Saccharomyces cerevisiae S288C: one gene and its partner. The protein of the gene in region 2 interacts with the protein of the main gene of each other region in a biochemical or structural test. Each region holds a gene or a part of one and is shown on either strand. Other genes may lie near its edges.

What was found.
Region 1: the proteins of RNT1 (region 2) and GAR1 form a complex in vitro, tested with the Saccharomyces cerevisiae proteins (one study listed by BioGRID).

The regions. Positions count from the first base shown.
Region 1 is NC_001140.6:280,150-285,092, forward strand, and holds GAR1 (H/ACA snoRNP pseudouridylase subunit GAR1), read right to left. Parts: upstream 3,150-4,943; coding exon 2,532-3,149; downstream 1-2,531. Other genes in the region: YHR086W-A (uncharacterized protein), read left to right, coding at 82-243; RTC3 (Rtc3p), read left to right, coding at 671-1,006; rRNA-binding ribosome biosynthesis protein RPF1, read left to right, coding at 1,346-2,233; histone acetyltransferase YNG2, read right to left, coding at 3,628-4,476; arginine--tRNA ligase MSR1, read right to left, coding at 4,690-4,943. UniProt on the Saccharomyces cerevisiae protein: Non-catalytic component of the H/ACA small nucleolar ribonucleoprotein (H/ACA snoRNP), which catalyzes pseudouridylation of rRNA and is required for ribosome biogenesis.
Region 2 is NC_001145.3:745,068-753,312, reverse strand, and holds RNT1 (ribonuclease III), read left to right. Parts: upstream 1-3,635; coding exon 3,636-5,051; downstream 5,052-8,245. Other genes in the region: 60S ribosomal protein eL20 RPL20A, read left to right, coding at 1-88; YHM2 (Yhm2p), read right to left, coding at 408-1,352; U2 snRNP complex subunit CUS1, read left to right, coding at 2,073-3,383; DFG5 (putative mannan endo-1,6-alpha-mannosidase), read right to left, coding at 5,584-6,960; BCH1 (exomer complex subunit), read right to left, coding at 7,390-8,245. UniProt on the Saccharomyces cerevisiae protein: DsRNA-specific nuclease that cleaves eukaryotic pre-ribosomal RNA at the U3 snoRNP-dependent A0 site in the 5'-external transcribed spacer (ETS) and in the 3'-ETS. In vitro, cleaves synthetic 5'-ETS RNA A0 site in the absence of snoRNA or other factors.

The sequences.
Region 1 (4,943 bases), on a different chromosome or scaffold from region 2:
TTTTATTTTTAGTATTATTATACTGTAAATGTTTCTTACTGTGTCAAGATTTCCCGTTGCGCTATCTTCCAAGACTACGTAATGCGTTTGTCTCTCTATTCATGTTGTCTCTGTATAGGGGCACGGCGAATTCCTACTCCGTGTCTCTTCTCCTATATCTTTACACCAAATTTGGCCCATTTTCATTCCCCTTTACGTAGTAGCGGTTTTCGGCCTGCCGGTGCTACGCGTTTCTATAGCTAGTTTCGTTTTCTCACAAATAAATCCTAGCAGGAGGAAAAGAAAGCGCAGGTTGAAACTCCGTTCAGAAGAAGAAAGCCACTCTTTGAAAATACTGCCCACGCAATTGTCCCTTTCTGACAATAAGACCCCTTACTACTAGTAAATGTTTTTATTCTCTAAGCTTCTTTTCCTCTAACTTCGACGCTAGAGCAGGCACTACCCTGTTGGGCCGTACGTAACAACAACGACCCCTTATTTAGTCGAAGGGATCGCCAGAAACAGGGAGCAAAAGATATTTAAGTGATGAGAATCAATTTCGATGATGATCACAAGCCAATGTTCTTTAAACTCAATTCTTGACTAATAAAAAAGCAGCTATCAACAAATTCATACTTTGAACAAGCTGATAAAAATAAGAAAACCATCGCATACACAAAATAAAATCAACATGTCTACTGTAACCAAATACTTTTACAAGGGTGAAAATACAGATTTGATTGTCTTCGCTGCATCCGAAGAGCTTGTAGACGAATATTTGAAAAATCCATCAATTGGTAAGCTATCTGAAGTTGTCGAACTCTTCGAAGTTTTCACTCCTCAGGACGGTAGGGGTGCCGAGGGTGAGTTGGGCGCTGCCTCCAAGGCCCAAGTGGAAAATGAGTTCGGTAAGGGCAAGAAGATCGAAGAAGTTATCGATTTGATATTGAGAAATGGTAAGCCAAACTCTACCACCTCTAGTCTCAAAACCAAAGGGGGTAACGCCGGAACCAAAGCCTACAATTGAGTAGCTTTTCCTTCTGTCTGGACAGCCTGCATTGAAATATGCAATAAGTTAAATTGGCGTGCTGCCCTGTCATAACGCATGCATTCTTCTTTTACAGTAGTAGAAAGAACAAAAAGGTGTATATTTCAATATACATATTTACGATCTATATAACGTTGTATACATTTAATTCAGTGCATTTTTCATTTTCGCGTTCGTCACACATGATTATTTATACAAAGGAAAAGTAAAATTTTTAGCGATGAGATGTAAAAAGAAATGCGATGCCATAAGCTATACTTTACGATTGAACACCTAAGGAAGAGGTAAAGCAGGCTTAATATATTGAAATACTAAAAAATGGCTCTCGGTAATGAGATAAACATCACAAACAAGCTAAAGAGGCAAGAAATTTTTGCTGATATAAAACATGAAAAAAATAAAGAGCGCCATACCATGAGAAGAAAGAGAGCTAAGGAAGAGAGAGAGAATCCGGAGCTGCGGGAGCAGAGATTAAAAGAGAACGTAACACAGACGATAGAGAACACTAGAGTGTACGATGAGACCATTAACAAGGAAGTGGAGGGAGATGAAGACGATTTGATGAGATACTTCAACAGCAATTCTAATGAGCCACCAAAGATCTTTCTGACCACAAATGTAAACGCTAAGAAGAGCGCTTATGAATTTGCTAACATTTTAATCGAAATTTTACCAAACGTCACATTTGTGAAAAGAAAATTTGGCTACAAATTGAAGGAAATATCTGATATTTGTATAAAAAGGAATTTCACTGACATCGTGATAATCAACGAGGACAAGAAAAAGGTTACTGGCCTAACATTCATACATCTGCCAGAGGGCCCAACTTTTTATTTTAAATTATCATCATTTGTTGAAGTGAAGAAAATTGTCGGTCATGGTAGACCAACTAGCCATATTCCAGAATTGATTCTAAATAATTTCCAGACCAGATTGGGTCAAACAGTAGGTAGGTTGTTTCAGTCCATTTTACCTCAGAATCCTGATATTGAAGGTCGACAAGTTATCACCCTACATAATCAAAGAGATTACATTTTCTTCAGAAGGCATCGGTATGTCTTCAAAGATAATGAAAGGGTTGGTTTGCAAGAACTGGGTCCACAATTTACCCTCAAGTTGAAAAGATTGCAAAGGGGTATTAAGGAAGAAACTGAATGGGAGCATAAACCTGAGATGGACAAAGAAAAGAAAAAGTTTTATTTATAGTGTTCCATTCGTAAACTTTGTATGGATATAATATTAAGACAACCGTAAGAACCGTGGTCGTTTGTTTAACTACGGCGGCTTCTGGTATTACTGAATTTCTCTTTTTTTCATTTTAAATCAATTTATTACAGGTAAATCAATCAAACAAATATATATATATATAGTATACAGAACAAACGGTAATTTCTTTTTTTTTTTTTCGACGTTAGACGTGCTTCGGCAGATATAGTAAGTTGGAAGAAATGAAGAATTGTGAAAGATAAAGGATGGTTTTTTTTTTTATTTTTTTCTAGCTAGATTATCTTCTACCTCCTCTGAAACCACCACGAGATCCGCCACGAGATCCTCCTCTAAATGATCCGCCACGAGATCCACCTCTGAAAGAACTGCCACCACGGCCTCCTCTGAAAGAACTACCACCACGGCCTCCTCTGAAACCTCCTCTGCTACCACCGCGACCCATTGAAGCACCACCACGGCCACCTGGGGCACCACTTCTCTTCTTCTTGTTTTTTGGTTTTGGTGGGCCTACCACCTTAGGCTTAGGTAAAAATCTTTCAATAGGCAATAGTTTGTCAGCGGCAATGTAGAATTTATCACCTTCTTTAAAACTGGTTGCTTGGACACCGTCACCACACTTGATAGTGAAAAATACTTCGTTTAATGGACCCAATATTTCGTCAACTTTACCGACTTGAGTCTTGTTTTCCAAATATATTGGCGCATTGAAATATGGAATCTTAGTGTTGATAGAACGGCAAACAATATCACCCTCACATGGATGTAGAAAAGCTCCCATTTCTAGAACAGTGTCTGGTGGTCCTTGTTGAAATGATCTAGCACTGCCTGTACGTCCACCACGAAAGCCGCCACGGAAGCCGCCACGGCCACCTCTATTACCTCCTCTGAAACTCATTATTTTCTTTTGGTTAAAAATTATCCTCAGGTGATCTTTTGGTAGAAGAGAGCAATCAGATACTCTATCGAAAAGGTGCTCACGTTATAAGGCTAACAAATTAATTTTTTCTTCCTTTCCTCATCTCGAAAAATTTTTCACTACAAAAAATTCCGACGTCAAAGTTTGAAAAAAAGACCATCTGATCACGTGACACCTTTTTCCTGCTCATAAGTTTTAAAAACCGTATGACACATATGCTAATGAAATTAAAATATATAGTATATACCTGAATATGCAGGAATCATATCTTAGTTTGATTCACAAGTATTTGAAAGTACATTCAAAAATGTCAATCGTATATGTCCTTGCTAGCTGATGTCTCGAAATTACTTCTCCTTTTCGAAAAGCACATTGTCAGAATAGCAATCACCGTTTCTGGCTTATGGAATATTATTAGTGTAAATGAGGTCATTCAGTCTCAAAAAGGTATTTTTGTTCAGTTACGTTTTCTTTTCAGTTTGTTTTTTTCCATCTCAATTTTACATTCGGGACAGTACCATGTTCCTTTCGGAGGTTCTTTTAAATTTACACAATCATAATGAAACCATTCATATTTACAGTTGGGTCCATCACATGCAACCATTTCTCCAAACGAAACTCTTTGACAGAAGCAGTATAAAGTTTTGTCCTCTTCCTCGTTTTCAGGGGAACCGTTTTGGCCTTTACCATTTCTACTGTTTTTGAATTCTTTTGTTCTTGCAATCTTCTTTTCAATGCTTGGGCTCACTGGAGTAACAGACTTTTCTCTTGAAGAAACGTCAATTTCATTTTGCAGTTTAGATGTTCGACTAGTTTTTTTCTTTTTCAAAGTGGGTGGAACGGATCCTGAGCTTGATGCAGCTCTTCTCTTTTTCACGCTACTGTTACTCACAACTGAACTTTCTCTAGAGGCTTCAGCAGCGCTATCCATGTCTCCATCTTCTTCCACGGGGGCTAGAACACCATCTTCCTCCAATAAAGCGATGTTTTTTTCCAACTTATTCAAGTGTCTAGCAATTAGAAACAAGGCAGTGTTCGCCAGAACGCATTTTTCTCTTTGCAAAGACTGACATTTCAAAAGTGATTCTTTTATTTCTTTGTCAAGCCCATCTTCCTGTGGATGTTTCGGTATTGAGCCTTGCTGTCTTATAAATTTGTGTATTTGTGATTCTTTTTGCTCGTATTTCTTTTTTTCTTCGATGAGCTTCAAATCATTTGAACCGATCTCCTCTAAGAGGTAACGAAATTCTGATGGGAGGTTGGACACATCTTGTATCGTTTGCTCTAAAACTAAACTTGGATCCATCTTCTATTGGTTATGTTGTCCAATATAAACTTGCATATCCTTCTTCTTTGTTTCTATTTCAACTAACGGTAGGTGGGTTATTCAAGAATCAATTAAAGGAAAATCGGAAAATATCACGTTGTACGTAACAATAAACTTTCTTCTATTTACATGTTTATAAATTGGTTAAACTTAATCTAAATTAATCTAGCATTTGCTAGCTTATTCATATAATTACATTCTATCAACCGGGACTAGTCCCAAAAGCGACATTGCATTGTGTAACACTTGTCTACTTGCTGAATATACGGCGAGTCGCGGTATGGCAATATCTGCAGGTTTTCCGGAAACCCATATTTTTTTATAGCACGAGGAGACCTGATGGCAAACTTTGAATAAATATGTTACAATCGTGGCCGGCTCTTGAGTTTCGAATGCTCGTCTAAGGACATCTGGATACTGCGCTAGCAACCTCACAAGCTCAACTA
Region 2 (8,245 bases):
GACCAAGGACTTGAAATTCCCATTGCCTCACAGAGTCCAAAAATCCACCAAGACTTTCTCCTACAAGAGACCTTCCACTTTCTACTGAACTGTGCATATTTGAATTTTAAGATATAAAATATTTTTCTGATACTTTAATAGTTTATTTTTATGTATTATCAATTCTGTAGAATTTAATAATTTCAACATTTCATGAACGGCCAGAGGTAAATGGGTAAGGCTTCCTTTCAAAGAATCTATAGATATTAAGGTTTGCATGAAGTAAATAGCTGATAACCTTAGTACAATTAGAACAAGTTGAGACAAATAGGAAGCACCCCAGCATAAGAGCAATATCCTCAGAAAAAAAAAAAATGACTAAGCTAAATAATTAATTTTTTTAAAAAAAACTTATAGTACAATACACGCTAATGTTTGGCAACTGGGGTTTCACCAGTCATTCTGGCGACAAATTCCTTCGCCATATCACCAAAACCAACCATGAAGACAGTTTGCCAGATACCTAAACCAATTCTTGGGGTGACACCACGGTAAAGACCCTTTAGACCATTTGATTGATAGATGTATTTAAATGTCTTACCAACAGTCAAATTTTTTGGTCTGTTTGGATCTTCCTTCTTAGATTGCATTTCAACTCTAATGACTTCGATTGGTTGATTCCAAGCACTTAAACCACCACCTAAAGCACTGGCACCAATTTTCTCGAACGGATTCAACTTGTCGTCTTTATTGGTTTTCCCGGTGATCTTTCTGATACCATCTTCCACTAGTCTGGACAAACCAAAACGAGAACCCCAGTTGGTCATTTGTCTAATAGCAACAGCATTAACACCCTTATTAATACCTCTAATACCTTCCTTTTTATAAATATTCTTGAACACACTCCAAGAAGATTGTGGGACACCACCTGCGGAGGCAGATTTATGTCTTGTAATTTCCACCGTTTTCATACAGGTACAGAACCCCATGGTTAAGTAGGCTTGAGTGACACCACCCGTGACACCACCTAATATACCTGAGGCAAAGTTGTTCAACCCCAAACTTTTGAAACGATACTCAGCCTCAGCTGACACGAACAGCAACACAGCACCTTTAGTGGAGGCTTCGATCCATGCCCATGGAATCAAACCTTGGTAGTAACCCAAGATACCACCTCTTGACCAGACATGCTTAACAGATTCTAAAAATGTGAAGTTTCTGTTTGCAGCCATTGTGGTCTTAACAACCTCCAAAGGTTGCCCTAATGTAGTCACCTCTGACAAGTTTAAACAGGCACCCAATAGGATATTAGAAAACGAGACTGGCTTTTTTTCTATTACGTTTGCTGCAGCAGTATTAGTGGTAGATGGCATAGCTATAATGACGTCGGGCTTTTCCTAGCTTTATTTGTACAAAAGACTTATATAAAAAGATTGTATCAGCGCTGTTTATATCTCAATGAAAGTAGATATATATACCGTAAGCGAGTTGAAACAATGACTTGAGGTGGGCAGCTTCGGACTTTTTGCAAAATTCAAATCCGAATATCTAGAAGATTGTATTGACAGCGTTTTTTAAATGTCCGTAGATTTCTCGAGATATATAAATGTTACAGAAGGTAAGATCCATGCAAGAGGCTAATGCGTTTTTCTTTTTTTTTTTTAGAGTGCGATATCTTGTCATAAGTTTACACAATGGGACAAAGGAAGCTAAAACATGAGTGCAAAAGAAGGGCCCATGTTTGTCGCCCTATGCATTTAGCCAATCATCTTTTTTTTTTGCGTGATCTTTATCAATCGTGATTCTCTGCCTTCTGAGTGAAAAAAGTCATGATCTTCGCGTTATTGCAGCGGAATTTGCCGACAGGACCTAGGTCTTGAGAAAGAAAAGTGATAGGGTAAGTAATGGAAGAAGAGGGCACAGGTCCAATCACGCAGCTTCATTACAGGGCTATAATTGCAAGAATAATAACTTTCAACCATATAGAAATCCAATACAGTATATTGGTATTGTTTAGAAAGGTATTAAGAAGGCAGTAGCATACAGAGTATATATCTATAGGCAGAGCATCAGATCATAAAGATAGTGGTGAAATGGCTAGAACCAAAAGTAGGAAGCGTTCCGGAAATAACCAAAATAAGAATGCGTCTGTGGTAAATAATAAGGCTGAGATCGCCGCCATGATTGATGCAAGAAGGCTTGAGCAAAAGAAAAAGGGTGGGGTGACTAACAGCAAAGGAAAGACGAATAAGGTAGTGGATGCGAAGTTAGAAAAAGAGTTCAAAGACGTTTTACAACGATTTCAAGTGCAAGAGAATGATACGCCGAAGGAAATCACGAAAGATGAAAAGAACAATCATGTCGTTATTGTTGAGAAAAACCCAGTTATGAACAGAAAGCATACAGCAGAAGATGAATTGGAGGATACACCCTCGGATGGTATTGAGGAGCATCTATCGGCAAGAAAACGTAGGAAGACTGAAAAACCTTCACTTTCGCAGTTAAAAAGCCAGGTACCGTATCCTCAAATTATAGAATGGTACGATTGTGACGCAAGATATCCAGGCTTACTAGCGTCAATTAAGTGCACCAAAAATGTCATTCCTGTTCCAAGCCACTGGCAGTCCAAGAAGGAATATCTATCTGGCCGTTCTCTGTTAGGTAAAAGACCTTTTGAACTTCCTGACATTATCAAGAAGACAAATATAGAACAAATGAGATCGACGCTTCCGCAAAGCGGACTGGATGGTCAAGATGAAAAGTCACTAAAGGAGGCCTCAAGAGCAAGAGTGCAGCCGAAAATGGGCGCCTTGGATTTGGATTACAAGAAGTTACACGATGTGTTTTTCAAGATAGGAGCCAACTGGAAACCTGACCATTTGTTATGCTTCGGTGACGTCTATTATGAAAATAGGAATCTTTTCGAGGAAACGAACTGGAAAAGAATGGTTGATCATAAGAGACCGGGGAGAATTAGCCAAGAGCTTCGTGCCATAATGAATTTACCCGAAGGTCAACTACCACCATGGTGTATGAAGATGAAAGACATTGGATTACCTACGGGATATCCTGATCTGAAAATTGCCGGCTTGAATTGGGATATAACGAATTTAAAAGGCGACGTTTACGGAAAAATAATCCCTAATCACCATTCAAGGTCCAAGAAACAGGGTAGAAACTATTTTGGCGCATTGATCTCATTTGAAACCCCTGAATTTGAAAATTCAAAAGAGGATACACAGGCGAATGCGGAAAATGGGCGCCAAGATGACAAAATCGATGATGAAGTAGAGCATAAGTTAGATCACTTCCAGGAAGACATATCCGAAGTGACAAGCGCAGAAGAAAAACTTGAGAGAAACGAAGAGGAATCGGAGAAGCAACTATATACTGTATTGAAATAACTACTAAATATCGCATAGGTACTTCAGTTTTACAAAATTTTACATGTGGTACTATTTCTCACGTACGAGTTTTTTTCTTTTTTAAATGCGGCCCTAAACCATGCTGAAATTTTTCATGAGCTCATCGCAAAATTTATCTCATTATCAGGTCATATAGTCACTCTCAGGAGAATCCTGCTCGATCAAAGTGAGGCAAGTAAATGCGCATATAGAAGAGAGCAAAACTGTCCTATTTACAAGCTTTTCAAAACAATGGGCTCAAAAGTAGCAGGTAAAAAGAAAACCCAGAATGATAATAAACTAGATAACGAAAATGGTTCACAGCAGCGCGAAAATATCAATACCAAGACGCTTTTGAAAGGCAACCTTAAGATATCAAATTACAAATATCTTGAGGTGATTCAACTAGAACATGCTGTGACAAAATTGGTGGAGTCTTACAATAAAATAATTGAACTTTCACCAAATTTGGTAGCTTACAATGAAGCCGTTAACAATCAAGATAGAGTGCCTGTTCAGATACTTCCTTCTCTATCACGTTATCAATTAAAACTGGCAGCTGAATTAAAAACCTTACATGATCTTAAAAAAGACGCAATTTTGACAGAAATTACTGATTATGAAAATGAATTTGATACTGAACAAAAGCAACCTATATTGCAAGAAATCAGTAAAGCTGATATGGAAAAGTTAGAGAAGCTAGAACAAGTTAAAAGGGAAAAGCGAGAGAAAATAGATGTAAATGTGTACGAAAATTTAAATGAAAAGGAAGATGAAGAAGAAGACGAAGGAGAAGATAGCTATGACCCAACAAAGGCTGGTGATATCGTCAAGGCAACAAAATGGCCTCCAAAATTACCAGAGATTCAAGATTTAGCGATTAGGGCCAGGGTATTTATTCACAAATCCACAATAAAGGATAAAGTTTACTTGTCTGGATCAGAAATGATCAACGCACATAATGAAAGACTAGAATTCCTAGGCGATTCGATCTTAAATTCTGTTATGACATTAATTATTTATAACAAGTTTCCCGATTACAGCGAGGGTCAGTTATCAACATTAAGGATGAATTTGGTAAGCAACGAACAGATCAAACAATGGTCAATAATGTACAATTTCCATGAGAAACTTAAGACAAATTTTGACTTGAAGGATGAAAATTCCAATTTTCAAAACGGCAAACTAAAACTGTATGCAGATGTGTTCGAAGCTTACATTGGCGGCTTGATGGAAGATGATCCAAGGAATAATTTGCCCAAAATAAGAAAATGGTTAAGAAAGCTTGCCAAACCTGTCATTGAGGAGGCTACCCGTAATCAAGTTGCCTTGGAGAAGACGGATAAACTTGATATGAATGCTAAAAGGCAGCTTTACTCTTTGATTGGCTATGCTTCATTACGTCTACATTATGTTACCGTAAAAAAACCCACTGCAGTTGATCCTAATTCCATAGTTGAGTGCAGAGTAGGTGATGGAACAGTTTTAGGGACCGGTGTGGGCAGAAATATCAAAATTGCGGGTATTAGGGCTGCAGAAAATGCTCTTCGTGACAAAAAAATGTTAGATTTTTACGCCAAACAAAGAGCTGCCATTCCTAGGAGTGAATCTGTGTTAAAAGATCCCTCACAAAAGAATAAGAAAAGAAAATTCTCAGATACAAGCTGAAACGTTCCTTTTACACAACCATGATGGAACTTGCATTGATTTTCTTTAGCCATATAATTATCGCATATATGTCATTCATAAAACGTTTATAAAACATTAGAATATTTGATATATTTGAATATTTGATAAAAAATTTGATAATTTTTGGGATTCCATTGTTGGTCAAAGCTATAAAATTATGTATGTACTAGAAGTTCTCCTCGAGGGTATAGAAATCCTTAAAATGGAATCGGTATCTTACCATAAATGTTCCACTAGAATGTCATCAGATGAAAAAGACGAAAGAAACATATGACTAGCTCGCGTGGCGTAATGGCAACGCGTCTGACTTCTAATCAGAAGATTATGGGTTCGACCCCCATCGTGAGTGTTTTTTAGTATTTTTTTTAAAAACAATTGTTCCTCTCTAAATTTTAATCAGTTTTTGATCATGAAGGGTTTTGTATGTAGCACATAAACATTTTTACTGAAAGAAAAGGATAGCCTAAATATTAGAATACAATAAAATTTTTTTGAGCCTAGTTTGACACATTTAAAACAGCATCCACACAGCCCCACCAGTTAGCACACTCAGTATGACTGCTGTGATGATAGCGGCACCAGCGCGATCACCTTTCTTAATGTTTAAATTGTTTTGTAGCACGTTAGTGGTCGATGAGTTCATACCGGCATTCGCGTCACCTTTTGACGTACCGCCATTATCTTCCTTATATGGAGCTGGCCTGTCATGAATTAAAAGATTTTGAATAACTTCTAGAGCACTCATTTGCTCACCTAATCCATAGTAGCCATCATTGGTTTGTTTCTGCCAATTTAAACCACATGTATGCCCATCTGTACCACCATTACATGATTTTGCAGCGGCCTCAGCACTTGTTTTTATCAAATCATCAATTGTGTCCCTAGTAAAGGGAGCCATGACACTTGTAAGACCAAGCATACGAGAAAAAATACTTTTGAATGTTCTTTGATCGGTGTTACAGGTGCCATAGTCTTGACAAGCGCTTTCGTACATAATACTATCTTTGAAGAAATAAGATTTAGCACCATTTAGAATTTTTGTCAAACTGGTCTCCCATTCACCTGTTCCATTTGTAGCATTATACATGTATGCAAGACCACCAAGCACGATACCGTGATTATAAGTCCATTCAATTTTTGTAATATCAGTGCAATTTGTATCAATTTCAGCACCATCAAAGACATTTGCAGTATCGTTAAGAACCACATACCCGACATCCACTAGCCAGTCGAAAACCTGTTCAGCAACCTCCAAATATGTAGTGTTACCAGTATATCTGCCCAACCTCGCCGCAATCTGGAACAAACATGCATTTGAAACTGTATTTTTATAATTATAACCACTATTCCAAGTGAAAATTTGCCATCTCAGACCACCGCCACAGTGCTCTGAATCCCATCTTGAGTACATGGTGTTGAAAACAGCTTGTACCATTGCCAACCAACCTGGCTTGCCGTCACCGGGGTCTGTAAAATTTCTCTCGACAGCACCCATAACAGTAATACCCCAAATACCTTGGTCATCATTCCCCTCAACCATCGTTTGGTTGGACGGGATATAATCGTAATTGGAACCAGTTTGCGCTAATAGTGCATCGTATAGTAATTCTTGATATGTATCATTCTCACAAAGAAACCAATTTTCCAACATGCCACCAAATGCTTCCCCTGCATGCCACCAATAGTATGGTGACTGAAACATCCCAACGGTACCACCGTATCTAGTACCCTCATAGTAATCCAGCATACCACCTTGAATTAACGCTGTCGCATCACAAATTGACGTTTTGCTAGTAGTATCCAAATCCATGGCATGAGTGGCTTTAAAAAATGACAGAAACGTAAAGCATATCGATAAGATCATCTTCGCACTAATATTGACGATCATATCTGCGTTCTGGATATGATTTCGTTCTAATTTGTTCGTCCTATATAACAACCAAAAATTAATAAAGGTGATTCAAAATGAGATAAAGGACAATGTACACAGTCAATTACTTAATTAGATATTTGAGTAAAGCTGATCTTTTGGAGAAATGGGCTTTTCATTAATTTACATTCTATTTTTGGGTTATACTCAGTTTCGCTTTACGCGGATTACATTGTTTTTTTTTCGGGCGTGGCTCAGATTGTGAAAAAGAAATTAAACAATTTAAGATTACGGTTATCGCATTAGAGGCAGAATAACTTGAAAATGGGAAATTCCCCAAGAAGGTGACCTATACATGACAATGCCAGGATATCATACATAAAATACATAACCCGTTTCTTGTTAATTGATTTCTTTCACCTTTTTATTGATTGTATTCATCTTTTTCTAATTATCGAAAGTGTCATTCGTGAAATTCTTCAGAAAATTTAGAATGTTATCGTCAATCAATTGGGCTACTGGGTCAGAAAATCTAGAGGCAATTTCATTATGTACTTTAGTAATGCCCATATCTTGTACTGCAACACTCAGAGCATCTATTAATATTATTGAGAACTCGATGTACCAACGATGATTCCAGCAACAAATCTTGACTACTAGATCGATGATTGAGCTGTCGATGTCATTGATACTTGACAATATTTGAGAAGAGGTTAACTCGGAGTTTGCTGAGACTGAATCCCTCCTAATACGCTTATGCTCGTCAATGTAAAACTGTAATAGATTCTTTGCGCATACTGGAGAAAATCTTTGGGAAAGCCCAATTTGGAAAGCCTTCGCAGCTTCTGGAAGATGTCCCAGTCTTTTCGCACAAAGGCCGAATAATTCCCATTCAACAGTTAATTTGTGATATTTACTGTTTTGAGCATCAAAATACAATTGCTCTGATTGCCAATCGGTGTAAGTTTTCAAATCTTCGTATAGTAACATGAAGAGATTATCCAACCATCTTTCGCATAGCCTCTTTGATCTCATTTTGGATATATCATTACCGCGAACTTCTGCTTCATCAATGGAAGAAGTGGAGCCTTGGTACTCGTCTTCCATAACGAAAATTTTTGATCTATATTTCAACAGCTGCTCCCATCCTGTTATTTGGACAATTTCTGTCAATAATTTATAGGCTAGTTGGAAAGTAGACTTTAAACTTGACGCAGAGAGATTGACTAGGTTTGGATCTGCGGACTTTTGCTCCAACTGGACATCCATGGGGTTCAATGACGAAATCTCCTCAATTGAGGCA